Linked DNA regions of Pelodiscus sinensis. The protein of the gene in region 3 interacts with the protein of the main gene of each other region in a pairwise test. Links are inferred from orthologs where the notes say so. Each region holds a gene or a part of one and is shown on either strand. Other genes may lie near its edges.

The links.
Region 1: the proteins of VIM (region 3) and SIRT6 interact in a two-hybrid assay, tested with the Homo sapiens proteins (2 studies listed by BioGRID and IntAct). The link is inferred for Pelodiscus sinensis from reciprocal best matches to the Homo sapiens genes VIM and SIRT6.
Region 2: the proteins of VIM (region 3) and YAE1 interact in a two-hybrid assay, tested with the Homo sapiens proteins (2 studies listed by BioGRID and IntAct). The link is inferred for Pelodiscus sinensis from reciprocal best matches to the Homo sapiens genes VIM and YAE1.
Region 4: the proteins of VIM (region 3) and PPL interact in binary tests that used the Homo sapiens proteins (3 or more experiments, as listed by UniProt). The link is inferred for Pelodiscus sinensis from reciprocal best matches to the Homo sapiens genes VIM and PPL.

The regions. Positions count from the first base shown.
Region 1 is NC_134729.1:22,247,247-22,254,551, reverse strand, and holds the start of SIRT6 (NAD-dependent protein deacylase sirtuin-6), read left to right. Parts: upstream 1-4,293; 5' UTR 4,294-4,387; coding exon 4,388-4,453; intron 4,454-5,921; coding exon 5,922-6,049; intron 6,050-7,305. UniProt on the Homo sapiens protein: NAD-dependent protein deacetylase, deacylase and mono-ADP-ribosyltransferase that plays an essential role in DNA damage repair, telomere maintenance, metabolic homeostasis, inflammation, tumorigenesis and aging.
Region 2 is NC_134712.1:166,988,165-166,995,042, forward strand, and holds the start of YAE1 (protein YAE1 homolog), read right to left. Parts: upstream 3,013-6,878; 5' UTR 2,706-3,012; intron 2,685-2,705; exon of another isoform or gene 2,533-2,684; intron 2,514-2,532; exon of another isoform or gene 2,380-2,513; intron 100-2,379; 5' UTR 29-99; coding exon 1-28. UniProt on the Homo sapiens protein: The complex LTO1:YAE1 functions as a target specific adapter that probably recruits apo-ABCE1 to the cytosolic iron-sulfur protein assembly (CIA) complex machinery. May be required for biogenesis of the large ribosomal subunit and initiation of translation.
Region 3 is NC_134712.1:218,778,047-218,785,733, reverse strand, and holds the start of VIM (vimentin), read right to left. Parts: upstream 3,012-7,687; 5' UTR 2,928-3,011; coding exon 2,383-2,927; intron 1,490-2,382; coding exon 1,429-1,489; intron 1-1,428. UniProt on the Homo sapiens protein: Vimentins are class-III intermediate filaments found in various non-epithelial cells, especially mesenchymal cells. Vimentin is attached to the nucleus, endoplasmic reticulum, and mitochondria, either laterally or terminally.
Region 4 is NC_134726.1:5,917,320-5,924,960, forward strand, and holds the start of PPL (periplakin), read right to left. Parts: upstream 3,013-7,641; 5' UTR 2,845-3,012; coding exon 2,783-2,844; intron 1-2,782. UniProt on the Homo sapiens protein: Component of the cornified envelope of keratinocytes. May link the cornified envelope to desmosomes and intermediate filaments. May act as a localization signal in PKB/AKT-mediated signaling.

The sequences.
Region 1 (7,305 bases), on a different chromosome or scaffold from region 3:
CTGAGTCCTCTGCTTTAAGCACCAGGCAGCACTTTCACTTCCCCATCCCACACTAGACTGTTAAATCTGCGTGGGCCGTGCTTTCTATTGCATCAAGATAACCAGCCAGGACAGGCTCCAACTCAATGCATCATGGCCTATTGGCCTTGCCTCTTTAGCATCACCATCCTCTCTTTCCTAGGGCATGCTGCCTCTTTGCTATTCCCAGTAATGTCCCTTTCAGGATATGTCAAATGGGGACATGAATTGCGGCACAGTCATATCTATGGCTTCATATATTAGACCCAACAGTCACTGAGCTCTGGGAGCAGAAGCTTCCCTCATTTCTGGTCTTAAATACGTGAATCCCGCATTGAGAGGGCTGGACAGAATGGGGTGGCTATTCCCCTAGTCCTGGGGCCTTTCCATCACTCCCTCCCAACCCTCTTCCCTACCTTGCTGATAGAGCCGAGTTCAGCCGGGAGGGCTCCTTCCCTCTGTGCCCAAGGCAGAACAAACTGAGAAGTGTCTCCTTACTGCAGTCTCAATTGAAGGAATCTCACCCTACGATAGGTGGCCCAGTGGGGGCCAGCTGGTGAATCCACCAATGAGGATAGCCAAGGGGTGGGACTTAACTGCGATAGGAATTAAGTTACTCACCTGCTACAGGTACAGTTACCTTGCCAAAGCTGGTCGCTGCTCAGTACGGGAAGGTGACAACTGCACTTGACAGAGCTGAATGTATTTCTCTACATAGGGCCGAACCCTGTTCATCCTGCCTAGCCCAGTTATGTCACCAGTGCTCAGCACAGCTCAGCTCTCCACACACCTGCCTGGCTGCTTGTTTTCAACTATCCTGATCCCCAGTCCCATAATCTCTAGGTCGTAATCACTAAACAATGCTATTAGGGTTGCCAGGTGTCCAGTATTCTACCGGACAGTCCAGTATTTGTGCTCTTTGTCCGGTAAAAAAAAATCAGAGAATACCGGACATGTGCAATGTCCAATACTCTCTGATTTTTCCAGCTGTGCACCAGACAGAAGCCAGGCATGGGCGAGGGGAGGTGGGGTGGCTGGAAGGTGGGGCCATGATCGGCGCTAGGTGCCTGTGAAGGTGGGAAGGTGGGAACCCCCAGCTGGTAGGCGGGGCCACGATCGCTGCTCTGGGCACTTCAGAGGCCTTGCCTCCGCCCCCGCAAGGCTTCTGCGCAATCACAGGCTCCCAGTGCCAATCATGGCCCCGCCTCCCAGCCTGGGAGTGCCAGCTGGGAGGCGGGGTTGTGATCGCCGCTCTGGGCACCGAAGAACGAGGGGGGAGGGGCTTATTATCCCACGTTCCTTTTTTGTTTGTTTGTTTTTTTTTTGCTCGACCAAAAAATTCCACGTATCCGGTATTTTTCGGGAGACCATCTGGCAACCATAAATGCTATGGCCCTTCTTCTGTACTAATGACTATGCAGATGGACCTCAGTACACCCAACACAGAGTTTCTTGCAGGATTGTGGCTCATGTTTTTATTTTATTTTATTTTATTTTATTTTATTTTATTTTATTTTCCTATAACAACTATAGCATGCTGGGCATCTTGTAGCTGGACAAGGAGGTACATTCCCCACCAAACAGGTACAGTAAAAATGTCTCTTGGAAAACATGATGGGAAAAACACACAAGAGCCTAGACTTTATTATAGTGAGACTACATCTACACTCCATCATTCTGTCAGCAGAGGAAATGCAAATGAAGCGCTCATTAGCATTTCTCGTGCTCTGATTTGCATAGTCTCTTCTGATCCTTTTTGTGGAAGAGGTTTTTGTGGAAAAAAACAATGTAGACGAGGCCATTTTGCGAAAAAAAAACCTTTTGTGCAAGATCCCTTCTCTCTCAAAAAAGGAGGTATACTGGATTTTGCACAAAAGGGTTTTTTTTGCACAAAATGGCCCCGTCTACACTGCAGTTTTTTCCACAAAAACCTCTTCGGCAAAAAGGATCGGAAGAGACTATGCAAATGACAGCATGAGAAATGCTAATGAGCGTTTCATTTGCATTTCCTATGCCGACAAAATGCTGCCATGTAGACGTAGCCTGAGGGACCTCTGCGTGTGCTTGCATTGTCCGTGGGAGATGTCTAGAAAGAGTTTGAGAAGGCCAACAGTGATAACCATCTTTGCCCTCACCATATGGTTATTCAGAGAGAACATGAAGGCCATATTTTAGGATCTCAGAAGATACATTTTAGGGTTTTGTAGCTACATTCCACAGGCACCCCTTAAATGCATCCAGTTATCCTACGAGTCCCTTAGGCAGTGAAGCCAATGCTGGAGAATTTATTGCAAATCTTGCTATAGTTGGGGTATTTGATTAAAGGTCTAGAAAACATGAGCTATGAGGGAAAATTGAACGAGTTGGGCTTGTTTAGTTTGGAAAAGAGAAGACTGAGAAGGGACATGATAGTGGTTTTCAGGTATCTAAAAGGATGTCACAGGGAGGAGGGAGAAAAATTGTTCTCCTTGGCCTCTGAAGATAGGAGAAGAAGCAATGGGCTTAAACTGCAGCAAGGAAGATTTAGTTTGGACATTAGGAAAAACTTGCTAACTGTGAGGGTGGTTAAACCCTGCAATAAATTGCCCAGCGAGATTGTGGAATCTCCATCACTGGAGATATTTAAGAGCAGGTTAGACAGACAACTATCAGGTATGATTTAGATCAATGTTTCTCAACCAGTGGTACAAATATGTGTTCATTTTTTTTAACTGTATCCTTTGGTATATATGGTTGTGACTATTTTCTTCCACTATTTGATCTGAGGAAGTGGGTCTAGCCCACGAAAGCTCATCATCTAATAAACCATCTTGTTAGTCTTTAAAGTGCTACATTGTCCTGCATTTTGCTTCAAGTACCCTTAGGGGTACTCGAGAGAAGTCAACACAACTGAAATTTGAAGAAAGCTGATTTTTTTGTTTTAAGTTTTACAGCGCTTTATTATTTTGTACTTTTTACACCCAAAAATGTCATTGCCTGCCTGGCTACGATTAAGTTGTTCAAACAAATGTGTTGCAACGGTGGAAGAAAATTATGTGTGTCTGAAAACTGGAATAGTAATAGAAATGTAGCCATGTTAGCCTGGTGTAGCTGAAGCAAAATACAGGACTATGTAGCACTTTAAAGACTAACAAGATGGTTTATTAGATGATCTTTCGTGGGCCAGACTGAGGAAGTGGGTCTGGCCCACGAAAGCTCATCATCTAATAAACCATCTTGTTAGTCTTTAAAGTGCTACATAGTCCTGAAAACTATAATTTTTTTTTAAAAGGGGTACTTTATAAAAAAAAGTTGAAAACACTTGTTGTATCATGCAAGCAAAGTAGTAACAAACTTCAATAGGCCTTTATGTAACAAAGGTGAAACCTCTTCACAAAGCTGCTGCTGCTCCCCTCTGTAGCTCTCACTCAGGCCTAGCCCATCTCCTCCCCCCTCCTTCCTGTTTCCTGGGCTTCCAGATTCCCAACAGCCAGTGCTCCCAGTTCTAATAATTACAAGCAGCATCTAAAACCCCACAACACTGATCTAGATGACACTTGGCCCCGACATGAGGGCAGGGGACTGGTCCCTTCCACTTCTGGTGTTCTACGGTTCTATGTATCAGAGGGGTAGCCGTGTTAGTCTGAATCTGCAAAAGCGACGAGGAGTCCTGTGGCACCTTATAGACTAACTGAAGTGTAGGAGCATAAGCTTTCGTGGGCAAAGACCCACTTCGTCAGATGCATGTACATGCATCTGACGAAGTGGGTCTTTGCCCACGAAAGCTTATGCTCCTACACTTCAGTTAGTCTATAAGGTGCCACAGGACTCCTCGTCGCTTTTACGGTTCTATGATTTCTTAAAGCCCCAGTTCCCAGAGGCAAGTGTTTGTGTGGGAATCTTTGATTTCATGGTGTGTGTTTTTACATTCTAGCCCTCATGATTAGGGAGGAAAAGCTAGAACATGTGGCCTAGGCGCCTGCCCGGGCCCCAGGTAAAAAACCAGAGTCACAGCAAAATAACCAAAAATGTGTTATTTAAAAAGCGACAGAGCCACCATTCCCCAGCCAGTGAGGCCTGGCTGGTGATCTTTGAACCCTGGGGGCCGGCAGCGCTGCTCAGAGCGGGCCTGTGCCCTAGGGGCGCCCCCCACCGCACCCCCGAGGCCAGGGCACAGCCCATTGCCCGAGGCGCCACGCCTGAGCTCCAGCTGGTGGAGCGAGCGCTTGCCCGGAGCTAATATGGCGCCGGGCGGCGCGCCCCTCCGAGTTCTGCGCATGCGGACTGAGGGGCGGCGGCTTCAGTCGGCCCTGCCCGGCCGTTTCCGCCCTTCGCTGGAGGAATTGACAACAAGGGAAACTTTATTGGTAGCGGCGGGGCCGGCGGGAGGATGTCGGTGAACTACGCGGCCGGGCTCTCCCCCTACTCGGACAAGGGCAAGTGCGGCCTCCCCGAGGTGAGCGCGAAGGAGCAGCCCCCCCCGCCCAGCATCGGGGCCTCCCCCCGGGGCCCTGCGGCCCCCCCCAGCGACACGTCTCCCCCCCCTGGGGTCCTGCGCTCCCCCCCCCAGCGACACGTCTCCCCCCCCTGGGGTCCTGCGCTCCCCCCCCCAGCGACACGTCTCCCCCCCCTGGGGTCCTGCGCTCCCCCCCCAGCGACACGTCTCCCCCCCCTGGGGTCCTGCGCTCCCCCCCCAGCGACACGTCTCCCCCCCCGGGGTCCTGCGCTCCCCCCCCCAGCGACACGTCTCCCCCCCGGGGTCCTGCGCTCCCCCCCCCCCCAGCGACACGTCTCCCCCCCGGGGTCCTGCGCTCCCCCCCCCCCCAGCGACACATCTCCCCCCCGGGGTCCTGCGCTCCCCCCCCCCCAGCGACACGTCTCCCCCCCGGGGTCCTGCGCTCCCCCCCCCCCAGCGACACGTCTCCCCCCCGGGGTCCTGCGCTCTCCCCCAGTGACACGTCTCCCCCCCCTGGCGGGACCTGCGCGCCCCTCCCCCCACCCAGCGCCACGCGCTTCCCCCTCCGCGGGCACCGTGCGTGCCCCTCCCCCCTCGGCCCCTGACAGGGACTCCGCGCCCTCCCCTGGGGGTGTTCCCCTCCCCTCGGGGGCCCGGGGCACCCCTCACATTCCTGGGGCGCTTCCCCCTCCCCTCCACGGGCATCGTGTATGTCCCTCCCCCCGGGGCGCTCCCCTCTCAGCCCCCGACAGGGACCCTGCATGCCCTCCCCTGGGGGTGTTTCCTCTCCCCCCTGGGGCGCTCCCCTCGCCCCCTCCCGACAGGGACCCTGCATGCCCTCCCCTGGGGTGTTTCTCCTTCCTCCCGACGGACCCTGCACCCCCCTCACATTCCTGGGGCGCCTTCCTCTCAACCCCCCAAGAGGGGCCCTGTACGTCCGTCCCTTGGGGTGTTTCCCCTCCTTCCCTTTCAAGGGGGACCCTGCGCTCCTTTCACACACCTCTGGGTGCTTCCCCCTTGTCCTCACCCTCCCAGCTGGAGCCCTGCCTTCCCCTCTCTCCGCCCAGGGTGCTTCCCTTCCCCTGGGGACGGTTCCTCTTCCCTCTCCCCCCACCAACGGGGTCCTATGCACCCCTGCAAGGGAGTTTCCCTTTCCCCTCAAATCCCCCCCCCCCTTTGCCTCTAAGGGACGCTGACTCCTCACCTCCCTGAAGCAGATGTGAGGTTTAAATTGGAACATCCTGAGGCCACTGAGCGGCCAGTGGCAGGCCATGAGTTCTGGCCGCCAGCGCTGCATCTGTGCGACCCAGTTGCTAATGTGCTTTTTTTCTGTGTCAACTTCTAGCCTGTTTTTTGGTGTGCCAGGTAGCTTTGTGGCTTCGGTGAAACTGCTTATCCACCATTCCGCGTGCTGGGCTGGCGGGACGCTTATCCCTGCTTCTCCATTTCAATTTTTCCTTCCCCTCAGATTTTTGACCCGCCAGAGGAGCTGGAGAGGAAAGTGTGTGCCTTAGCAGACTTGATCAGGGGCTCTTCCAATGTAGTATTTCACACAGGAGCCGGGATCAGCACAGCCTCAGGAATCCCTGATTTCAGGTAAGGGCACCGAATGAAGAAATATCCTTAGTCACTGAAGCAGTGTAGTCTAGCAACCAGAGCAAAGACCTGAGTTAAAGCTTGTGGGCTCAGTTCCTGGCTCTGACATTGACTCACGGCAGTCCAGTCACTTTGCCTTTCAGTGCCTCAGTTTCCCCACCCGTAAAAATATGTCTGGTTCCCGGGAGTTTGGCAAAAGCTTAATGTTTATGAAAACACGATGAGAAGTTCTGTGGCACCTTTAAGACTAACAGATTTATTTGGGCATAAACTTTTGTAGGTCAAAACTACTTCGCCAGAAGCATGGATTTATGCCCAAATAAATCTGTTAGTCTTCAAGGTGCCGCAGGACTCCTTGTTGTCCTTACAGATACAGGCTAACATAGCTACTCCTCTGAGACTTGTCACAATGTTTATGAAGTGCTTGGAGATCTGTAGGAGCGCATGTGTTATTTTGCTGGGTTAGTGATGGAATTGGTGGTGAAAATATTTCATTAATGAGCAACAAATAGTTTTCTTATGGTTCCATCCCTGATACTTAGCCAGTTAGCTTACATGTTAAGTGCTGTAAGGAAAATAGTTCATTTATTCAGTGCCATTACTTCTGGAAAACACCTTCTTTTCTAGCCCTCTGGTAAATGGAGGGTAGAGGTTTCCTCTCCTTTCTGATTATAGTCTGCTCTGATTTTTGTCCCAAAGTCAAGAGCTTGCTATTTATTGGCCAAAGTGGGATTTGCTGAGACACTGAACTCGGTGAGATTATTCTCTGGGGCTAGCACCCATGCTTACTTCCAGCAAGCCAAACAATGACAGTCCTTGGTCTCTAGTGTCCTCTTTTTATAGCCTATTTGTCCGTGCTCGTTAATAGTGTAACCACAACTTCAGTAATAATTTCAAAAAGGGGGAAAAAAATGAGGAAGCTAATTGAATGGAAATTAAAAGGTAAAATGCCTTCAAATTGTATGGAGACTATTTAAAACACCATACTAGAGACTCAAACTAAATATATAACCCAAATGAACACAAAACAGTAAGAGGAGTAAAAAAATGACACCTTCCTAAGCAGCAGAGTAAAAGCAGCAGGATGCTAAAAGGCATCCTTTCAAAATTGGAAGTAAAATCCTACTGAGAAACTGAAAGGAGCATAAATTCTGGCAAATCAAGTGTAAACATATAATTAGGCAAACCAAGAAAGAATGTAAAGAGCAATTAGCAAAAGACTCAAAAATTAATTTTTTTAAATACATCAGAAGCAG
Region 2 (6,878 bases), about 52 Mb from region 3:
GGATGACTGCAGCTTGCATCCACGACATTGCAGCAGTAATAAGGATTCCAGTATATATGATACAAACTAGTACTGTGAAAATCTGAGCCGTTCTTCCTCCTGAGCATCAAGTTAAAACCACAGGCTTTACAAGTACAAGTTTTGAGGAAAAGTAACTTCAGTAATCAGAGATTCTAGTTTTATGTTTTTCATATAGAACCTTACAAGGTCATAAATTCAGCCATCTCAATTTTTTGGTTGTTTTTTCCAATAACTGAGACACACATATAGGCTATGTCTAAACTACATCCCTCTTTTGAAAGAGGGATGTAAATTAGGCAGATCGAAAGTGCAAATGAAGCGGGGATTTAAATATCCTATGCTTCATTTGCATAATCACATCATAGTGTTCTTTCGAAAAGTGACACCGCCGTCTAGACTTGGTTCTTTCAAAAAACCCCCTTTTTCGAAAGATCCTGTACTCCTCAAAAAATGAGGCTGGGCAGCTGGGGGCCATTTGTAGGGGCGCATGGGGCAGCTTTGTGAGCCACACTTGCAGGGGTGAAGAGCCGCAGGTTGGCCACCTCTGGTCTAGTGGTTGACTAGCAAAACTGGGGATCCAAGAATCCTGGTTCTTGATCAAAGTCACATACATCTCCAAGCTCTCATTTAATTTATTTATGCCTCAGTTTCCTCATTTGGAAAACACAGATAATACATATATTGCCACCTCACTTAATTATCGGGTGTAAGGAATTAATGTTTGTAAAGCACTTTCAAATCACAGAATGGAAGGTGATATATGAGTACCAAATATTACAGTTTAATTAAACCACTACTACTATATGACTTATTTTTATTGGAAAAACTTAAATAGTCTAGTAGCACTTTAAAGACTAACAAAACATGTAGTTTTTAAAGTGCTACTAGACTATTTGTTGTTTTTAGAAGTTTTTCCTGTTACAAACTAACTCAGCTAACCCTCTGTTGCTTTTGTTGGTCCTTGGGTAATTTTACAGCAGTTTCCAAAATGGGAAAAGCTAGTAAAAATATGCAGGGGCAGATGGAAAGAGCATGTAAATAGGAAGAAAATAAGTCCAATACAGGTCATATTGCAGCAGCTCCTGTCCTGGCTCCAGAGCAGAGGGAGCCCATTTTGGGGTGGGAGGGTGGAGGTAGAGCAGAGTGGGGAGGTGGGAACAACAGGGACAGGGTGAGGGGCAGGGGGAGGCAGGCCTCAGGAATCTGGTGACCAGCAATTAGAAGGATAGCACATGGTAAAATTCTCTAGAGGTGGCACCAACACTCATATTTGTGTCTGGTTTTTCCCCACTGCCAGTCCCCAGGGACCACCTAATGCCACAAGTTGGTCATGGAGCCCATGGTTTAGCTCACAGGGACTGTATGAGGGATCATGAGGCCTTTGAATTGTCCACGTGGAGTGCACAGTGCCTACAGCCAATGTGGGGGCGCTTCTGATGCTACTTGCCATTGATTTATTAAATTTGCAGCATAGAACATTTGAAACAATACTATTCACTGAATAATCAATGTGAAAATCATAGTGGAAACTGGGGCTAGAACAGAATCACTTTGTACCCAGCACTGTGTCTATGAAATACCTAATGATACAACAAAACCGAGTAGGTCCCATGGCACTTTAACACAAATATGTATATAGTATCATGAGCTTTCCTGGGAAAACCCATTTGGCCAGATAAGAACTGTGACGGCGCGTTGGGGGGGTCCCCCGTCTCCTGCACCCCGAAATGGCACAAACAGACTGCACCAGCCGGTGGAATAGAGGACGTTTATTGCCTCTCCAGGATACAGCACAGCACAGATGTAATCTGGTCCCAGAGCTGGGCTAGGATGCCTCAGGCCCCCTTGAGATGGGGGGAGACTGGGCCCCTAAACTCTAGCCCCTTTCCCTAGGCTGTCTCCTCCATGCTCCCAGACAGCAACTAAACTCACTCTCTTCCAGCCCTGCCCCCCAGCCAGGGCAGCCTCCACCTTCCTTTGTTCCTCTCCATGGTTCAACCGGTTTGGCATCACCTTTGCATAGTGAGGTTTCCCCTGCTGGGTCTTGCTCCAGACAGCAGAGGTCACCACAGCCCAGCAAGTACCCCCCCTACGTCACAAGAACCGTCTGACCAAGTGGGTTTTGCCCAGGAAAGCTCATGATACTATAGATACTAAAGCGCCACAAACCTACCCAGTGTTAGAGGAACACGACTACCCCTCAGAGACGGGTGACACAATTCCATTCCCTCTCGAATCAGCAAAAATTAGACCTTGCCGCGCAAAAACAAACTCCTCCCCTCCCCCCCCCCCCGAGCGCACTGTGACACAGGGTCCAGACACCCCAAACAATAAGCAGCCGTGACCCCTGGGCAACACCTGAAGGACAGAAACACGAATCCCAGTCCAGGGCCCCGATCCCCAGGCTGCTTCTGGGACAACGCAAGAAGCCAGCCTGGCAGGCGACGGAAGTGACCTTTCGCTCCCTCCAGCCCCTCCTCGCTCAAACCTGCTGCCCCCGCCCCGGCTCACCGCTTTCCTGGCCGGGCTAGCGGCCAGCTACCCTTCCTCGCGCCGCACCTCGAGCACGGCGCGCGGCCATTTTGACTCAGGGCAGGCTACCCTCACACCCTTTGGAAGCCTCGTGGGAACAGCAGCCATCTTTGCTAAGGGAGGCCTGTTTTACACCCCCCCCCCCAACTCACCGCATGGGCGGAGGGTGTAAGGAAACGGCGGCCATCTTAAGAGAGGGCTGCCTGCCTTCAACCCGCTTGCGGCAACGGCGGCGGGGGGGGGGGGGGGTCGGCCGCCATCTTTAGTAAGGGCGCACTCGAGGCTTAAAAGTCGCGGCCGTTGGCGTCGCCTTTCTGCTCAGCACCGAGATCGAGGCTGAGGCTGCGATACCCGCGCCCCGGCCTCCCACGGGCTTTGATAAGCCTGGGCTGGGGGTGTGTCGGGGAGAAGTAACTATGACAACAGGGCGTTGCCAGCGAGCGCTCGCCCCGCCCCGCCCTTTTTGCGTCCAAAACCCAATTACTCCCCCCCTCCCCCCCACGGCCATGAGCACCGTGTGAGCGCGCGAGTGCGCCCAGCGCGGCTGCGCGAGGTGGTTCTGGCAGCCCACGCGCCTAGGCCCGCTCTCCCGTGCAAGCGCGTGAGGGGCCGAGCGGGACGCTCACCCTGCGAGCCGGACGTTGCTGTGCGAGCGCGCGCACGCGCGCGCGTGTTTGCGCAGCTCTCGCGCGCTGCCCAGAGTCTGGGCTGCAACATTCCGCTCCGCAGTCCAGCCAGGCAGGGGGCAGCCGCGCTTCCCATTGTACAAACCCGGGAACAGACAGATCATGACCCATCAGCGTGGCTGGGCACAGACCGAGACACTCTGGCTGGCCTTTCCCCGCTCTGCATAACCGTGAATCATCATAGCCAGAGAGCAGGAGAAATCCTTTTTCAAAAGAAAGGGGGTTGAATGGAAGACTATCCAGGAACTGGTCTGCATTACTCAGGTTGATCAAAAGCAGCTTAACATTGACCTAATTGTGTCAGTATATACAAGGGGTAGGCAAAGGGGCCTCTGCAGGCTGGACTCAGCCCACCAAGGAAGTTGAACTGGCCGTGGAGGCCCTCATCACTGCCCCCAGGCCACTCAGGGTCTGGGGGAGAGGGGGAAGCAGATGGAGTCTCCTTCCACTCTGCGAGGGGTGCAGCTTTTAAGTACTGCATGCACCTTGCAGGATGGGGGCAGGAACTTCACTTGCTCCCCCCACCTCCAGGCCTATCAAGGTTTGGGGGTGGGGGAGCAGTGAAGTCTCCTGCCCTGCAAGGGGCTCAGGACTTAAAGTCAACCATCAGCTGCTGCTCAGCTGGTGGTTGACTCTTAACTGCTGCACTCCCTTGCAGGACTGGGACAGGGAGCAAGAGACTTCCTGGGGGGTGGGGGGAAGCATGCAAAGTTGCCTCCTACAGCCAGGGTCATGGGTCCCTAGAGTGTGCGTGCCTCCCCTGACCCATCAGGGTCTGTGGGTGGGGAAACTCAGAAGGGTCCTGGCCTTGCCCCTTCTGCCAGAGGCCCCACCCCTTCTGGGGCAGCCTGGGACTAGTTCAAAAATTTCTGAAGTGTCCCCCGGAAAAAAATTATTGCCCACCCCTGGTATATACATTACAGGCTTGTCCTGCTGCTGTAAGGTGTGTCTACACGGCACCGTAACTTGAAACAAGATATGCAATTTGAGCTATGCAGGTTGTATATCTTATTTTGATGCTCTTTTGAAATAGCTTATTTGGCCATTTGGCATTTAGGTAGATAGATCCAAGTTTTAGGTATAGTGCAGGCCTGTGATTCCCTCCTGAGCTTGTTCCCTCTCTAACCTCAGCCTATTTATTTTTCTTGTACACTGGTGATGATGGACCTTTCTACTAGCCTGAGTAGTTCAGTGACCTATTGTCTAGACCCTTTCTCTCCAGCCCAGTCAGGGAGGATGGAAGATAGCCAGCAGGTTAATTTGATTGTCATAGTCCTAATGGGGTTTTAATTACAACATCTCCTTGCACAGCAGGCAACACCTTACATTGACCAACAAAATGATTAAAATTGAATCCCTGGACTCATGACATATATTATCCAACTTTTCCATAGCGCCTTCTATTCAGGAATCTCAACATGTTACATAACCTAACCAAACCACACAACACTTCTGTGAGGAAGGTAAAGGATACTTAGGAAACATTTCACTCATCTTTGTGAACAATGACCTTGCTTAATAGCACCTAGCACCATTCACAATAGTTTAGAATGAAATATCCCATTGAAACTAGAAGGAGTCTATAGAGATGTGGAATTTAGTTATTAGAGCTGGAAGTTTGCCTGGACACCAGGTCTATCACCCTAGAACATAAGGACGGCCGTACTGGGTCAGACAAAGGTCCATCTAGCCCAGAAGCCTGTCTGCCAACAGTGGCCAGCGCCAGGTGCCCCAGAGGGGGTGGACCGAATACAATGATCAAGCGATTTGTCTCATGCCATCCATCTCTAGCCTCTAACAAACAGGCCAGGGACACCATTTCTATCCCCTGGCTAATAGCCTTTTATGGACCTAACCTCCATGAAATTATCTAGCTTCTCTTTAAACTTTGTGTTTAACTTTTGTCATTACACTATGGTCTTGAGTATCAGAGGGGTAGCTGTGTTAGTCCGAATCTGGAAAAACAACGAGAAGTCCTGTGGCACTTTATAGATTAACAGATTTATTGGAGCATAAGCTTTTGTGGGCAACGACCCACTTCCTCAGATGCATCTTGATTTACTATGGTCTTGATTTACCAATGACTCAAAGAGAGCAATGTTTCCTTCTGAATCATCGTAAGTATTTGTTGCCTCACCTACATTAGCTTTCTGGTCACCCATATGCTGACCCATTTGTTTTGTGAGTCATAGTAGGAAACAAAAGCTACTTCCTCTTTCTTTTCTATATTCCTTTATTAAATATCTAAAATTAGGCATTTACCTTATTTGCCTCAATTTTCTACCATTTCCCGTCCCAATGTTCCCAGTACAAACATTTTAAAATGAAGGGGAAATTGTTCTTTCCCCTTTTCTTCATCTCACAAAAAATAGTGAAATTTGCCAGTCTATTTTAAACACAGGTAGGGCATGTCAACACAACAGGGCTAAAGCTGGAATAAGCAACGCAACTTGAGCTATGTCAATTGCGTAGCTGAAGTTGAAACAGCTTATTTCGGCAGGAAGCTAATTTAAGGATGTTAAAGAGTCATTGCATTTGCTTATCAGATAGTCAACAGGATAATCAATTAGTCGCTTCCTCCCCCTTGCTGCCTTCATTAGATAGAGGCAACAACGGGAGGAAATCTGGGGTAGTGCCGCACAAATGATCTGGACTCCTCAGCTGACCCTGGGCTCTGCCCGTTTGAAATGCCACAGCAGCGTTTCAAAGGGGCAGCGCCGCCCTATTGACTAATTGAATAGTCGATGCATTTTTTCATCGACTATTCGATTAGTCCAATACTTAATACTTGGACTAAAATCCTTAGTCCAAGTTAGAGCACTCGTCTTCCAACTTCCCTTATTCCTAGTATAATGAGAGTTACCGGAGTTGTAGTAAGAAGTCCTCCAGCTTCACAGTATTTTGACATTGTCAAAATAACTGCCTGCTGTGTAGGCACGAACTATGTTATTTCGGAATTACATCAGGAGGAGCAGTGGGGAAGGAGCAGAATGCTGGCAGCTCCTTTGGCTGCCAAAGCATTCTCAGCCCTGCCCCCCAGATTGCAGAATTGTACGCACACAGCCAGTGGAGGGGTCGGGGTTGGTCAGCAGGGAGTCTTTCTGGTTTGCTATGCTGGCTAAAAATATTTTGCTAGTATGGCATACTTGTACCACTGTTTATTCGTCACTCAACTTCCATATGAGGAACAAAGTAATTCTGTATTATCAAATGCAAATATGTTTACTGCCCCATAATGATAACACTAAATGACTAAAATTAAGAGGCCAAGTGTTAAGTTCTTGATGTTATTGGTTAGTGGGTCCAATGGAATCTAATCTGGGGCTATGTACACACAGAAAGGCTGCAAGGAATAAGAGTATGTAAGGGCATTACTTTAATTTATACGTTCATACTCCCTCATTAGTTGCTTTTCTTTCTGCTTCTCATGTATGAATCATGTTTAAGTTTGCCTCGTGTTAAGCTAACACATGGTAATGTCTTTAGCTGTATGTTATAAAGGAGATGAAAAAAGGGGTTTGCAATGGGAACTGTGTTGTGACCTTAATGATGTAGAGAGATTCCAAACTGAAGGTGCTATTGGATTAAAATATCAGAATGTCATGTGCCTGTAAATTAAAGTCCATGCTCATGTGTATT
Region 3 (7,687 bases):
GTAGCGTTTACACAGTAGTTCTCAAATAACTTTACCAACAAAGTTATTCCCCACAGCTGTAAAATGTGTAAACTGAGGCACAGATAAGGGAGTTAGAATCATTAGTAGTGTTTGACAGAATGTAAATCACACTGTGAAACCCTACTTAATGTAATTGGGGTTTGGGGCAGATCAGAAAATCAAAAATGTGGATATATTAGAAGAATTGGCAAAGAATATTGCTATTTTAAGATGAGGGCTCAGACAATTGGCTTCAGGCTGCTGGTAATTTGGTTAAGATGGTAAACGGGATAATAGAAGCTTGGATAAGCTTTATTATATCAAGTACACATGTATCAGCATGTTCAAGAAAAAATTTGGAATTCTATTAACTTTCTATTATTTATAGCAGGCACTCAGTTTTCAAACTCAGAATTCAATCATAATTTGTGTTCAATGGATGTATATAGTGGCTAGGAAAACCAAAGGCTAGCATCTCATTTTAATTGCAGATTCATGGTTTTAGTCAGAATTTTGGGTTTATCATGGAAAACTAGTATCCCTGGTCATGACCTCCCTCTAAAATGTGGGCACAGCAAGAAAGACAGCATTATCTGACTTGTAAGTAGAAAAACCTTAATATGAAAAAATTCTCATATGTTGAGGCAAGTTCTTCCTGTAGTAGGTATTTTGAATCAAGACGGGCCATATCTAAAATAACTGGTGTTATAAAACTTTAACTACGCTTACATCATTACACATTCAGTAAGAATGCAGCCTACAGCAAGCCACTCTTCAATACAAAGAGTTCTATTATTTCAATCTGCTGCCACCACACTTGCCATAATGCCTGTATCTGCATTCCATAGTGAATCCCATAGAAACCATTAATACCCTTCAGCCAAGCGAGCAGATGGCTCCCTTTCACCCTTATTGGATCAGAAAGTGATTCTACATTGGAGTGCTTTTGTAGAATTGGCTAGTCTTGGACAAAGCCAACAATAGCAGTTCCCTTGCCCATGTAGGCATCACCCCCACCCCACCGAAAAACAAGTAGTTATTACATGTGAACTTGCACGTTGACTAAAAAGCCAGCCCCTCAAATCTTGCATATTTGCTGCTAAGGTTTCACATGATGGGTCAGACATTATCCCTATTCATACAAGACAACATTTCTATTTCAATTTGTTCATTGCAAATTTGTTCAAAAATCAGACCTGCTATATGTTCTAGCTACTTTAAAACTTAACTGTTTCTAATTTTAGCATTGTCTAGACTAAAGGAATGGCAGATCCCTTGATAAACTTCCTGGAGGTACTGAGAGAAGTCTTGCAATTTTACAAGTTGCTTTTTACCACTAGGTGGCCCTACATCCAACATTATATCAATGTTACACATTTGAATTTACATTCAGTGCACTCATTTTAATATACAAAAATTACTACAAACCTGTCTGAAAGATTGCAGAGTGTTTTCAGCTTCTTCTCGCTGAATCATCTCATCTTGCAACCTGAAAATAGTACCATATAGATTATTAACTTTGGTGGGGGGCAGGAGAGAAGAGAACCTCAGCACTAGGATCTGGTAAAATCCAGCTGGTAGCCACACCCAGCCAACATCCCAGAGGGGGAAGATGGGGCCTCTCAGAAAAGGCATCTCATTCTGACATTTTTCTGGTCTGTGCCTTCTTTATTAAGTTTGCATGACTGGGCTTTGCAGCTTTCTGCTGTTGCAGCAGTCTGAAATCCACAGACAGCCTAACACAAGCAGTGCCAAAACCGTTAATGCTTATTCAGCTAATGAGCAACAAGAGGCTGACCTAGATTTGGGTTGATTTTAAACCCTCTTTTGGTAAATTCAAATTCTGTTAGGCAGCAATATTTAAAGAAGCTGATTGACTTTCAAAACTTTGGTGTGTAAAGCCACCAAAAACTTGTAAGAGTCTCCGAGCAACACAATTAAGTTTAAGGGCTCAGATGAGTGGCAAAGCTAACTTTTGTAATTTTTTTGACTGCATGGTCTTAAAATATCAGACTGAACTTTGGGATTCTCAGACGATGGTAACCACTCGTGATGGTTTTCCACGAAATCCTGCTCCCTGAACTTTAATCTGTACTAGAAGAGCCCGTGACTAATACACATCAGCCTTGTTTTGGCTCACGGTGGTAAATTAGCTCAGGCGTGCCCAAACCGTTAGTTAACCATGTGGGTTGGATCTGTGCGCTCCCGCCACCTCCCTGATGCTGAAGCCTCAGAACAGCTTCCAGCTGTTCTCAGGCGCAGGGGAGGAAGTTTCTCACACTTTGAGGGTACCGACTGCATCTTCGACCCTCCCCCCAGCTCTTGGGTGGAAGTAGCGAGGTTGGGCGCCCCCTCCCCACCCATCCGCCCCGTGGCACTCACTTCTCCCGCAGCCTGAGGATATCGTCGGCCAGGTTGTCCCTCTCCACCTCCACCCTGGCTTTGTCGTTGGTGAGCTGGTCCACCTGCCGGCGGAGCTCCCGCATCTCCTCCTCGTAGAGGTCCCCCAGGCGGGAGGTGCCCTTGCCCTTCAGCTGCTCCAGCTCGGCCAGCAGGATCTTGTTCTGCTGCTCGAGGAAGCGCACCTTGTCGATGTAGTTGGCGAAGCGGTCGTTCAGCTCCTGCAGCTCCACCTTCTCGTTGGTGCGGTTGGCCTTGAACTCCGTGTTGATGGCATCGGCCAGCGAGAAGTCCACGGTGTCGTGCAGGAGCCGCGAGGGGGGCAGGCTGCTCCGCAGCCGCAGGGCCGAGGACTTGGTGGCATAGAGGCCGCCGGGCGAGGAGGAGACCATGCGGCTGCTGCTGGGGCGGATGGCGCTGCCCAGCGAGTAGCGGCTGGAGGAGACGACGTAGCGGCTGCCCGAGGTGCTGGGGCGGCTGCCGCCCCCGAACATCCTGCGGTACGAGGAGGTCTTGGTAGTGCTCATGGCGGCGGCCGGCCGGAGCTTTGTAATCCCAGGCGTGCAGGGTCCGGCTGCGAGAGCGACAGGCGAAGGAGAGCGGCAGCGTCTGCCCGCGGCGGTATTTATACCCCCGCCACGCCCCGAGCTCGGCCCGCTCTGCCGCCAGCCAGCCCTGCCCCGCCCGGCACAGAGCCCCCTCCCCCGCGCCGGGCGGGGCCGGGCCGGGACGCCGGGGTCCCTCCCTCCACTCCCTGCCCGACTTGCTCACAAAGGCTGCGGGCGGGCCGGGGCGCTCTGCAGTGGGGGCCAGTGGCTCGGAATGAGGGGTCAGGGCGGGAGGCTGGGGGAGGCGGGGGCGGGGAGGGCACAAAGAACAGATGGGGGTCTGTAGGAGGCATGGTGTGGGGGAAGGGTCAGTAAGTCGGGTTGCCAACTCTTGACTGAAGCTACTCCTAGACTTGTTCCTCCCCCCCCATATGAAGTAACCTGGCTTTCTTAAACCACCCTAGACTGGCATGATTTTCCGCAAATGCTTTTAACGGAAAAGTTTTCCGTTACAAGCATTTGCGGAAAAGAGTGTCTAGATTGGCACGGATGCTTTTCCGCAAAAGCACTTTTTGCGGAAAAGCATCCGTGCCAATTGAGACGCGCTTTTGCGCAAAAAAACCCCGATCGCCATTTTCGCAATCGGGGCTTTTCTGCGCAAAACAAATCTGAGCTGTCTACACTGGCCCTTTTGGGCAAAAGCTTTGCACAAAAGAACTTTTGCCCGAATGGGAGCAGCATAGTATTTCCGCAAGAAGCACTGATTTCTTACATGAGATCATCAGTGTTCTTGCGGAAATTCAAGCAGCCAGTGTAGACAGCTGGCAAGTTTTTCCGCAAAAGCAATTGCTTTTGCGGAAAAACTTGCTAGTCTAGACGCAGCCCCTATGAAAATCTACTCTATGGTTCAATAGTCACCAGGAGATGGGTACCCATTCTGGGAGTCTCCCGGAGAGTTGGCAACCCTGTCAGTAAGAGGCAGAGTCAGTAGGGACTTAGGTGGCAGGGTGGGAGAACAGAGGAGGGTAAGCAAGAGGCAGGGAGGATTAGGCAAAGGAGAGGAGGGGATGAGAGGGTGAAATAGAAGATTCAGACATGGAAGGAGTCACTGAGGAGGGGACTAGAGAAAAGGGGCCAGAACATTTTGCATGCCTTTTCCTTGCCCTGTGGATAGCATCTAGACTCTCTGCCTTGGCTCTCATACTGTGGGGAGGGGTATCTATGTGCTTTACAAAGCTGAGGGTCTCATGCCCAGACAGGGAGGCCAGGTTCGGGGCAAGTGCAAGATGGAGCATGGCTAGGGTTTAAGGAGGAAAGCAGACTCCCTTTCTCTGGGAGTCATGATGCATGCTGTGCCATACCAGTTGCGTGTGCAGAGGGGAGTGAACTAAGCAAATGCCAAACCGAGTGCTGATGTCTGAGACATGCCCCATACTGGCTGTGCTCATTCTGGGTGTGTTCTCAGTTAGCTTGTGGTGTTCACAGGCCTCTTTGCTCTCACCAAGCTTGTGCATAAGCTGAGCTACTGCTTGTGGTGATCCAAATTGGGGAGAAAGAATGACTGGTCTGGCACAGGCACCCAGGCTACGTCTACGCTGGCATGATTTTCCGGAAATGCTTTTAACGGAAAAGTTTTCCATTGAAAGCATTTTCGGAAAAGCGCGTCTATATTGGCAGGACGCTTTTCCGCAAAAGCACTTTTTTGCGGAAAAGCGTCCGTGGCCAATCTAGACGCGCTTTTCCACAAAAAAGCCCCGATCGCCATTTTCACGATCGGGGATTTTTTGCGGAAAAGAAATCTGAGCTGTCTACACTGGCCCTTTTGTGCAAAAGTCTTTCAGAAAAAGATTTTTGCCCGAACAGGAGCAGCACAGTATTTCCACAAAAGCACTGACAATCTTACATGAGATCGTCAGTGCTTTTGCGGAAATACAAGTGGCCAGTGTAGACAGCTGGCAAGTTTTTCTGCAAAAGCAGATGATTTTGAGGAAAAACTTACCAGTTTAGACACAGCCCCAGAGTCTCTGGTGGCTGCACTTAAGCAGGGAAGAGAATCCCTGTGCTGATTCCTCCTGCACATCAGCTAAAACAAAGTCACACTTACTCTATGTGAAGGGCTATCAAACATGAAACAAATACTGAAAAATAGGGTATGTCTACACTACCCCGCTAGTTTGAACTAGCGGGGTAATGTAGGCATACCGCACTTGCAAATGAAGCCCGGGATTTGAATTTCCCGGGCTTCATTTGCATAAGCCGGCTGGCGCCATTTTTAAATGCCGGCTTGTTCGAACCCCGTGCCGCGCGGCTACACGCGACACGGGCTAGATAGTTCAAACTAGCAAGCCATTCCGCACTATCTGTACACCTCGTTCCAGGGGGCTGCTCTGGCCAGGTCAGGACGATTCCACCACACCTCACTGTGAGCAGGGGATCTGCTCTGGATGGGCCAAACCCGGCTGGAAGAACCTCCCACTGGTTAACTGGTTACCCCAATAAGCATGCTGGTAAAGCACATGTTTACCAGGTCAACCCTTTACATCCCTAAAGTAGATAGAATAGAATATTACCAGAATAGTTGAATTACATACAATCTTGCTCCTGCTTCTTGGCACAACCCTCTATGATTTGGATGAGAGAACAGGCTTCAGTTTAATAATTTCACCATTAAAATGAATGGGAACAGTGTCATTGACTTCAATGGGCACAGGATCAGGCCTAAAGAGAGAAACTGGCTTAACGACAACTGTAGTGAGATGTAGTAGCTGTCAGCCATTACTTGAAGGGTATAAATAACAGGAATCAGATTCTGTGTTATATTGCTGCAAAAGTCCCATTTGTAGTCAATGGGAATTTTGCCTTAGAAGGATGGGCTCTCCGCAGCAGTGTTCCCTGTAAGCTGAGCGCTTGGGTGGCTACCCAGGGGAGATTCAGGCGCTGCCCAGCTGACAGGCAGAGCGCTAACAGCTGACCACAGCCAGCAGCATGTGTTTCTATTGGTGGTACACAACTGCACGTGCCTTGGTGCATATAACAACATTTATTCTGCACATTGATGAAAAATCTTAGAGGGAACATTGTTCTGCAGGAAGAAAAATTATGTAGGAGATATGAGGAGTTAAAACTAGGAGTTACAGAATGATATTAAATAATGAAAAATTTTAGTGGAACATCAGGTGAAAACTCATAGAATCATAGAATCATAGAATAATAGGACTGGAAGGGACCTCAAGAGGTCATCGAGTCCAGCCCCCCGCCCTCAAGGCAGGACCAAGCTCCACCTACACCATCCCTGACAGATGTCTATCTAACCTGTTCTTAAATATCTCCAGAGAGGGAGATTCCACCACCTCCCTTGGCCAGGGGAAAAGTCTTCCCAGGAACATGATGGAAACCCCATTGTTTAAATTCTTTAAAACTAGACAGGTTAAGCACATATATATCCACACACACACACACACACACACACACACACACACACACACACACACACACACACACACACACACACACACACACACACACACACACACACACACACACACACACACACACACACACACACACACACACACACACACACTGTAGGGAACAAATTTGTCATTGATAGAGCCACTAAAACCTTCTAGGTCTTTTCTATCTTTAATTGCTACGAAAACGTTTTTGATCAATTGTATTTTTATATATTTTTAAGTCTCCCACCATCTAGCTCACAACTCTCTAAAAACTAATAGTTATATTGGATGCTGATGCATTTGAATGTACAGATGAACAGTGAAAAAGTTGCAAAGTATAGTGTCCGAGTCTCCTATCGTAGGGCACAATCAAATGAGTGGAATTAACTGTATCCCATGGTGAAGAATATGGTGCAAAATATTTTGTGAAGAGATGTTTTATAAAGAAATGGTGCTGTATCTTTATTCTGGATAGTGTCTTCAAGTAATGGAATATGGTTTAAATCTAAATTAAGCGATTTTGGGGTTTTGGACCTCTCTGCTGCCCTTCTTCAGGCCTTAATTTGTTATTTACATTGCAGCTTTGTCAAGCAAGCAGTGCTGACATATTTGAGCTATGGAAATGTTTTCAGCCCAAGTCTTGCACTATAGTTCACTTCATTTGTTGATTCAATAGGATGCAGGGGTCACACACATACACAGAATTTCTGGGGCTAACTGTACTGGCATCCTCTCCTGTTCTCAAATGTGCCATCCTAGCTTCCTGGGAATTCTTTCTTCAGCCATCAAGTGACTACTATAAACCTTTGTGAGTCTCCTTACATCCTGGCTCAAGAATACACACTCCCTCCATGAGAAACGAGAAGTAAGGCACATGACAAGCAGCCTCATAGATTAAAAATATTTTACTTGCTAAGTACTGATAATTTAGCAGTACTTTTTAAAAAAAAGATGTGCCACACCCAGTCAGCTCTTTGCTGTTACTAACAGAACATTAATTGTTTATGCTTTACATATTCATGAGTGTCATGTTTTCAGCATGTATTTCTCCACAAATTGAGGGTGTTTGTGTTATCAATTCAATATGAAAACCCTAATATTTAAATATTAATAGGGGTATGTTTGTGCCATTCTAACTGGGGCACTTCTTGGCCAGTAGCCTTTCTGTTGCTTTTTGCTGTGAAATTTCCAAGAAATGTTAAGAAGTTGGCAGTGTGGTAATCAGATTGGCATTAAACCTTTAATGTCATTTGATGGGTGGTACATAAGTGAGGGAAGGTGCAA
Region 4 (7,641 bases), on a different chromosome or scaffold from region 3:
ACTACTGAGCTAACAGCACAGACTTTGCCCAGTGTAGGGTTAATTTCAATAGAAAAGGAAAAATGTCACCTTGCCTTCCTCAACCTTAGAAGTAGCAATCAGCCTACGAAAGCCCCAGAGGAATTTAACGGCCATTGTTGATTAGCTCACAGACCCTGAGCTCTAGTATCCTGGCATCCCCAGAACAACACACTTTCTCCAAGTCCATCTCCTGTCCCTTCCACTCAGGCAGGTCCACTTCTCTCCTTGAGATCCTCTCCACTTGGCCTATGCTGCTCTTCATGCCGGCACACCCCAATCGTCAGCGGCTGGGATGGAACCCGGGACCACTGGAGCTTAGTGGATTCTGGCGCTCCACTAAGGTTGTGGAGCAGACTCTGTCTTCTCTCTGGGAGTGGACTCAGTGCCACTAAATGGGACTGTGTGCCCCACCCAGCCAGTGTGTCTGGGTTACAGGTCCATCATCAATTCAGGAGAAAAATAAAACCAGCAGAGAGAGGTTGTGCTTCATTTACATTTCCAAAGCTGCATCAGCTAATCTCTGCTGCTGCCTTTCACTTGAGCACAAAGCAAGGGCTTACTTTCTCAGTGCCATTTCCACACACGTTTGGGGACCCCCAGTTCAGCTATGTGGTTCTTTCCATCTCTGATTACCCGCATGTGTAGGCAAATCGGGATCACGAGAGGTGCAAGTACTCTGTTTGCACCTGCAATTCATGTTTGCTGGTGTAACACCCCCCCCCCCATGCCTGTTGGAAATATTAACCCCTCGCACTCCATTTTCTTGCTTGACTCTGTCTTGATTCCTTTTATATTATATTATATTAATTAATATTATAACTTAGCACCTGGTGAGCCATGGCCTTTAGGTACCTCCGGGGGTGAGGTGTAACTCATGCAGCCAAGAATGCGTTTTCCAGCTGGTTCCTTCCCATTCCTCTTGAAGTGGGTGTGTTTGAGTTAATGAACGAGGCTGAGTATAACACAAACACAGAGGGCTGTTCCAAGTCTCCACCCTAGATGCCTCTCCAGAACAGACCCTTTAAAAAAGCAACCCACCCATGCAGACGCCGCGCTTGCTGGACCTCACCAGCGTTCCATAAAAGGAGGGTATCAGGGGAACCCTTAACAATTCCAAGAACAGTCACTTTTCTGAACACAGCAAAAGAGTTTCCACTCAGCTTTGCCGAGGAATCGGGCCAACTTCACTTTCAGTTTACTCGGGGGGTTTGTAACCAAGAATGGCATCTGCCGAATGCGTGGAAACTCTGAGCGTGCCCAGGGATGCAGGTGGTGGGGGGAGAAAAGAGGCTCCCCTGAGCTCCTGGAGGAGCAGGAGGTCGGAGAGAGAATGTAAGGAGAAAGGAGAGTGAGCGTTGTTAGCAAAGAGGGGGACAGTGAGGGAGGAGAAAGTCCTGGAGGTGGGAGCAGAAGGTGGGGCTGATTGTGGAGAGTGTCAGGCATCCTGCAACAGGGAATGTTGGGTGGGGGATCCTAGTTGGGGAAGGAGTAATAGAGCGGAGGTGGGGTTAAGTCCTGGCAGATGTCATTCATCTGTTGCCCCAAAATCAACATTCCGAAAGAGGCTTGCCCTGCGGTAGAGGGCCTGATCATCACAGGGGATGGGATAAACTCTGGACCTGCTGGGAATCCCGGCACGTGGGCTGAGAAACTCCCCCAAAGGAGACTGGGAAAGATTAGCTAACAAGACCTCACGGAGGAAAGAGCCTCAGATCCAGTCCAGCAAGCTGGTGTGGCTGGGGCTTTGTGCCATCTGTTCTCCTGAAGAAACCGTCTCCATCACTAGCCCAGCTGGGCCCATCCCTGGGTGGCAGCAACAGGTTGGCTCTCTACCCTTGCTGGCCCTTAGCACTCCTATTGGACAATCACCTGCCCCATAGTGACTGGATGCCCCCTCCACAGGCCTGTTTACCACAGGGTCCCAGTACGTCCTAACAGACACAGTTCATTGCTAATAGATGCTGCTAGTCAGGCGCATTGCCAAGGGCTTAGGGTCTGATCCCTTCAGCTCCTATTGAAATCAATGGGAGCTTGAAGGCACTCAGCCCCTCTCAGGATTGGGCCCTCAAAACTTCCCTCTGGGGACCACCTCACATTTGCAGCACTTGCCCCGGTAGCCCCGTGCAGCGTTCGACCGGCCCTGCCTCTTGATTTCCCTCGCCCGCTGGCCAGAGCTGGCCCAGCGCCCCGGTGGGCGTCTCCCTTTGGCTCTGGTCCCCTGTGCATGGAATACATTAATGCTTGTTTATCAAATCAGCGGGGCTTGCTGTGTAAATGAGGACGCATCGAGACATGTTCTGCTGCCTTGGCGTTTGCCCTGTGGAGGGGGAGTAAATAAGGCGCATAGCAGCGCTGCGCGGAGGAAGGGGACGGGGAGGCCGAGCCGTGCGGCCGCTCCCCGGAGAGATTACACTCTGGAATGTGCCAACAACCCCGACCTGCACAATTTTTCAAAGCCAGGAAGCCAAAGGAAACAGCAGCACCCGTTCGCCTGTCCTAGCCCGGTGCAGCCTCCGGAAAGCTGCTTGCTCGCTGCTGCGTGCCTGTGTCCTTGGCACCTCTCATGTCCTGCTAGCACCTGTCTCCGGCCTCTACTCTGACGCCTGACAACAGAGTGGCTCTGTTCTGCTTTCTCCAAGGATCCCTTTGCTCCTTGTTTCTCTGCCACTTAGGAATGTGTGGTTACCCAGCTCTGGGAGAGCCTGAGTCTTGCAGGCTGGCAATGCCAAGAGCCCCGTAGGAAGGAAGCCGGAGTACTCACCTCTTCTTCTGCACCGTGGGGCTGTATTTCCCTTTATTTCTTTTCCTGAAGAGAGAGTTCATGGTGATTTCCCTGGTGCTAGCAGCTGCCTGAATGCAAAGGGCTGGCTGCCAGCTGGCGAAAGGAGGCTGCTGCTAGATCCTGCAGGTACAGTGCTCGTCTGGGGAAGGAAGGGACAGGGAAACCGGCAGCCGCCTCCAGCCCTGCTCTCTGTGCCTGCTCCAGGGGTGTGAGTTCTCCCACTGAGCGGGGTAGGGCTCTCCCAGAGAAGGTGGTGCTTACCTACGGCACATGTCACTGACACAGGCGGAGCTACACGCACCTCCCCAGCCTGCTTTCGCTGGGAGCAGCACAGAGGTTACTCCAAGGGACCACGAGCAGTATCAGGCTCTGCGTGTGTGCGCTGTGCGAGGGACAGCTGGGGCTTACTTCAGCCCCTCACAGGAGGGAAGCATTCCAGCCTGTTACCAGAGGCAGGGAGCGACTGTCCAGCCGAATGTGCACATTACAGTCGTGTATCTGATTATTTTTCCGTTCCTGGGGCACCCTGCAAAACTGGGAAAATAAGCTCTGTTTGCCGGGAGCTGGGAAGGGCTGACAGGGGTGGGATCACGTGATGATTCCCTATCGCTGTTCATTCCCTCTGGGACACATGGCACTGGCCACCATCGGAAGACAGGATGCGCCTGACCCAGTGTGGCCGTTCTCATTTCTTAACAAGTTACCGGTTGACTGCAATCTTTCACTCAACCCAAAACGAAACACTTCACTCCGATGCGGAGTTTTTTAAAGCCTTAAAAGAAAAGGAAATGTCAAAATGTGCCCATGAAAGCTTATGATACGATCTATATATTTTTGTTAGTCTCAAAGGGCAGGTCTACACAGCAGTTAGAGCACTCTTCCTCTGACTTTCCTTACACCGTGTAAAATGAGGGTTACAGGAGTCGGAGTAAGACATTATTTCCACGTGATGTCGAAATAACTGCCTGTTGTATAGACGCAGATTATGTTATTTCGGAATCACCTCAGTGATTCCGAAATAACGCTGCTGTGTAGACATGCCCTAAGGTACTACAGGATCATTGTTGTTTTTAAGCTCTAACAGGGCAACCGAAAAATGGGGAAACTGATCACCGGGTCGTGCTTCCACACAATGTGGCATGTATATAATTGAGCAATTAGGAGCAACTCTTTTGTTTGGGCTTTGTGGCCATGTGAGACTAAACACATGGCTACAGAATTGTGTAGCCCTCACCAGGGCCGAATCCAGCGCTAGTTATGTCCTGAGGGCAGGTCAGTGCAGGATTCGGCCGACTGATCCTGTACGCTGTAACACCTCTGAAATCAGGGCTGTTCATCCGGCATGCCCCAGTGAGCAGGAGCTCAGAATTAGGTCTGTTCCTTGGGCGCTGTGTAGGATGCAAGTGTTCAAACCGGTCAGGGCGGTTTGCTTGAAGGCAGAGCAGGTGAGTGGTTAGAGCAAGGCACAGGGCTTGCTTTGGGTGCTATCGCTCCTTTGAGGCAGAGTGTAACAGGGCAAATCGGCAATGGAGACATTTTTCCAAAGAGGCGAGGGGTCTTCAGCTGCCTCTGTGCTTGGGCGTGAGACACGGGCAGAGGCAGCTTCGGAGAGGCACAGCAGGCACGGCACACTGAGTCCAGCTGGAGTTGCGGGCGCTTAGTTCCTCTGAAGATCAGGCCAATGTGGGGGCAAGTTGGACACCCACCAGGAGCAGAGTGGCTGAGAATCTGTCCTTACCCGGTCTGTTCCTCATGGCCTGGTTGTGGATGGGGGCAACTGCGAGGGATCATAAAGTATAATGACACCCCCAAAACCTCACGGCAGTGAGCTCAGAGCTCGGTTCTACAGACTCGGGCTTGTGGGGCTTACAAGACAGCACCAGAACCAGCCGTGTAGGCATTCAAGGGTGGGTTCCAGTTTGAGCTGGAACATCTACATGGCTATTTTTAGCACCATAGCTTGAGACTTGCCACAGTGGCTTTGTTTTTCTGGGGGTTTTGCCATGTAGACGTGTACGTAAAGGGCCCAATTCTCGTTCATTGTAGAAGCTCACGGTCCCGGCCCCAGCCCTAGTGTCAAATTCCTCATCAAACTTTCCAGGGGAGTCTTCTAAGAGCAGAAAGAGTCCGCTCCTTTTCCCCAGCCTTGCCAATCATCTACAGCAGAGAGCTGCGGAAGGCAGCCCAGGCATTCTCCCCGCCTCTGTCTGTTGCTGGAGTATGTCAGCGCAGGGAGAAAGGGGATAATGAATGACTTTGCCAGGCAAAAGGAGGCTGGGTTGTTTAGCTATCAGCTCATTTCTCTGCAGGGAAACATGAGCTCCAAAGGGCTGCCTGTTGATTTGAATTTAATTCTCATCCTGTTAAGAGAGCCCTGGGGTTCTTCCTGGATGTGCTGACAGGTGACTCTATGCTGTAGCAATGGTCTCTTTTAACACTTCTGTTAATTAATGATTTAAACCCAGCTTGGCTGTGAGCCTGAAACCCACAGCTGATCCCTAATCCAGTGGCTGATGGAACGTGCGTAACCTTGGCACGCAGTCCCTGCGGTGCCCAGTGCTGGAAAAATGCAGCCTAAGGCTGTCCCATGGCTGCCCTTTCCATGTGCAAGGTGTGGAGCTGTGCACTGAGGGGAGTCTCTGAGCCGTCTATTACACCATTGCGCTTCCTGGTCTTTCATGTATCCCTCCTCCCAGCACTATTAGCTGCATAGTCCAGCTTTGCAGCTGAGGCACATGGAGACTAGGTGACTTGCCCAAGGACACAGCAAGTCTGTGGCGGAGCAAGGACTCAACCCCTTCCTCCCAAGTCCTTGGCTAGTGCCCTATCACTGGCCCGCCTGTCTCTCTGCACACATGCAAGAGAGCATCAACTAACTCCATTGCACCATTTCCCCTTCTTCTCCGGACCCCAGAGCGGCCTCCAGGGGCCCAGGATCTGCAGGAGGCATGACCAGGAAAAGGGCAGGTGAAGGAGATGTGTCCAAACCCTGAAGTCTGCTGTGAAAATCTCAGCTGAATCACTGAGCAAAAATTGGCCCAAGCCTCCAAGTCTTTGGCTGCTTTCAGTGGAAGTTAGGGACCGACGAACCTGGGAGGAGCTGGGCCTAAGTCCCTTGTCCGTGGCCTGCCAGGCAGTCCGTGGGAGAGGGGGAAGGCAGGTCCCTTGCCAATGCGTTAGTAATGCTGTGTTTCTCATTAGAGCAGAGTAAATGCTGCGCCTTGGGGCCTAGGACAATTTACACCAGCCAAGGATCTGCCTTCCCATCTTTCCCCCGTAAGACACAGCATTGACCCCTACTGCTCAGTCGGGGAGCCCACAGCCTCCATGGCCCCCACACAGGGGCCAGCTCTGTGCTCTCAGAAGGGGCGGGGCCTTGGGCAGAAGGGGAGGGGCTGGAGCAACTAGCCCTCAGTGCCACCTGGACCATAGGCGTCCCCTCCCTCCTGCAGACCTCTGAGCCGCCCGGAGCGTGTGGTGCAGCACTCCGGCAGTGATTTAAAGGGTCTAGGGCTGTGGCAATAAGAACAGTGCTAGGCCCCTTGGAATCACTGGGCCCTTGGGCAATTGTCCCCTTTGTCCCCCTCTCAGCGGGCCTGTGCTCAGTAAATAAACAGCAGCAGCTGCAATACCGAGCAGCGAAATGAGCGTGCCACACGCTGGTTTACTGCCCCCAGAGCTGCTGCTCGGGGTTCCTGATCCAGGTCCTTCCCAGCACCCCAGCCTGCGCTGTCCCTCTCCCATCCCCCCCGGGCTGTCAGTGACACAGTGCAGCTTGCAGCTGTGGCTAGCTGGGGAGAGAGCATTTCATTAGCCAGCATTTTGCAGTGAAAGGGGGGATTTGAGGTGCTAGCGGGAGGTGACGTTGCTCGCCCACCTGAGGGGAGCAGGACAAATAGCAGGAGGTGCTGCCACTCTAGGGATGGGGGTGGAAAGGAAAGAAATGATTCCGGGGAGGGGAGGGGAGGGGACAGGAGGAAACTAGACCCAAGCCACAAGGGATGCCGAGAAAGGAGCTGGCTCTGCAGTGGTGTCAATGAGATCAGAATCTGCTCCGAACGTTCAGTCCTGGACGCTCAGGAAAACCTCATAGCCCCTTTGCAAACCCATCCCTCCGGCACCGGCTCCACAATCCCCCGGGTGCTGAGGTTCCGCTTTCCAGCCTGGCCATTCGCTCCCCTCCTTGGAGCTGGGCAACCCGGAGGTGTCGGTTTCTCAGTCCGGATCGTCCACGTGAATCCCTCTGGGCACCGAGGGGCATCCCTGCGCTGGCGTGAGTCAGTGAAGCTCTGCAGCCGTCATTGCAGGAGCTGTAGGATTTACCTCAGCGAAGACGAGGCCCTGCTGTGCTAGGGGCTGTACGAACATACACGGCAATGCCTGCCCCACGCTGGCCATCTGTGTTCACTTCGCTTATTTCCATTGCTGGCTCTCACCACTGACAAATGAAGCACGCGGGTCTTAGGAACTGAGCTCTTACAGCCTCATTTCAGCAGGGACAACGCTGGCTCCGTGCTGGCTGTGGCTGCAGATTTACCTTCAAGGCCACCAGCATGGATTTTTATTCTAAATGGGGGGTGTTATACCCAGTCCTCTGAGGGATCCTGCTTCAACCCATCATCCCCGCCCTCTTAAATCTCTATCTATGGCCTCCGCTTGCTGCCTTTCCGACCCCCGCACAGAGGGCACAGTTTGTCCCTCCACCTGCTGCTCGTGAGCTCTCTGCCACCAGCGTGGTGCGAGGTTTCCAAGGCCGTTGGGACTTCTCCAGCTGCGGTCAAAGGGCAGTGAGATCAAGAGGAGGCAGAGACACTGAAGTGGTCCAAGGGACCGTGTTC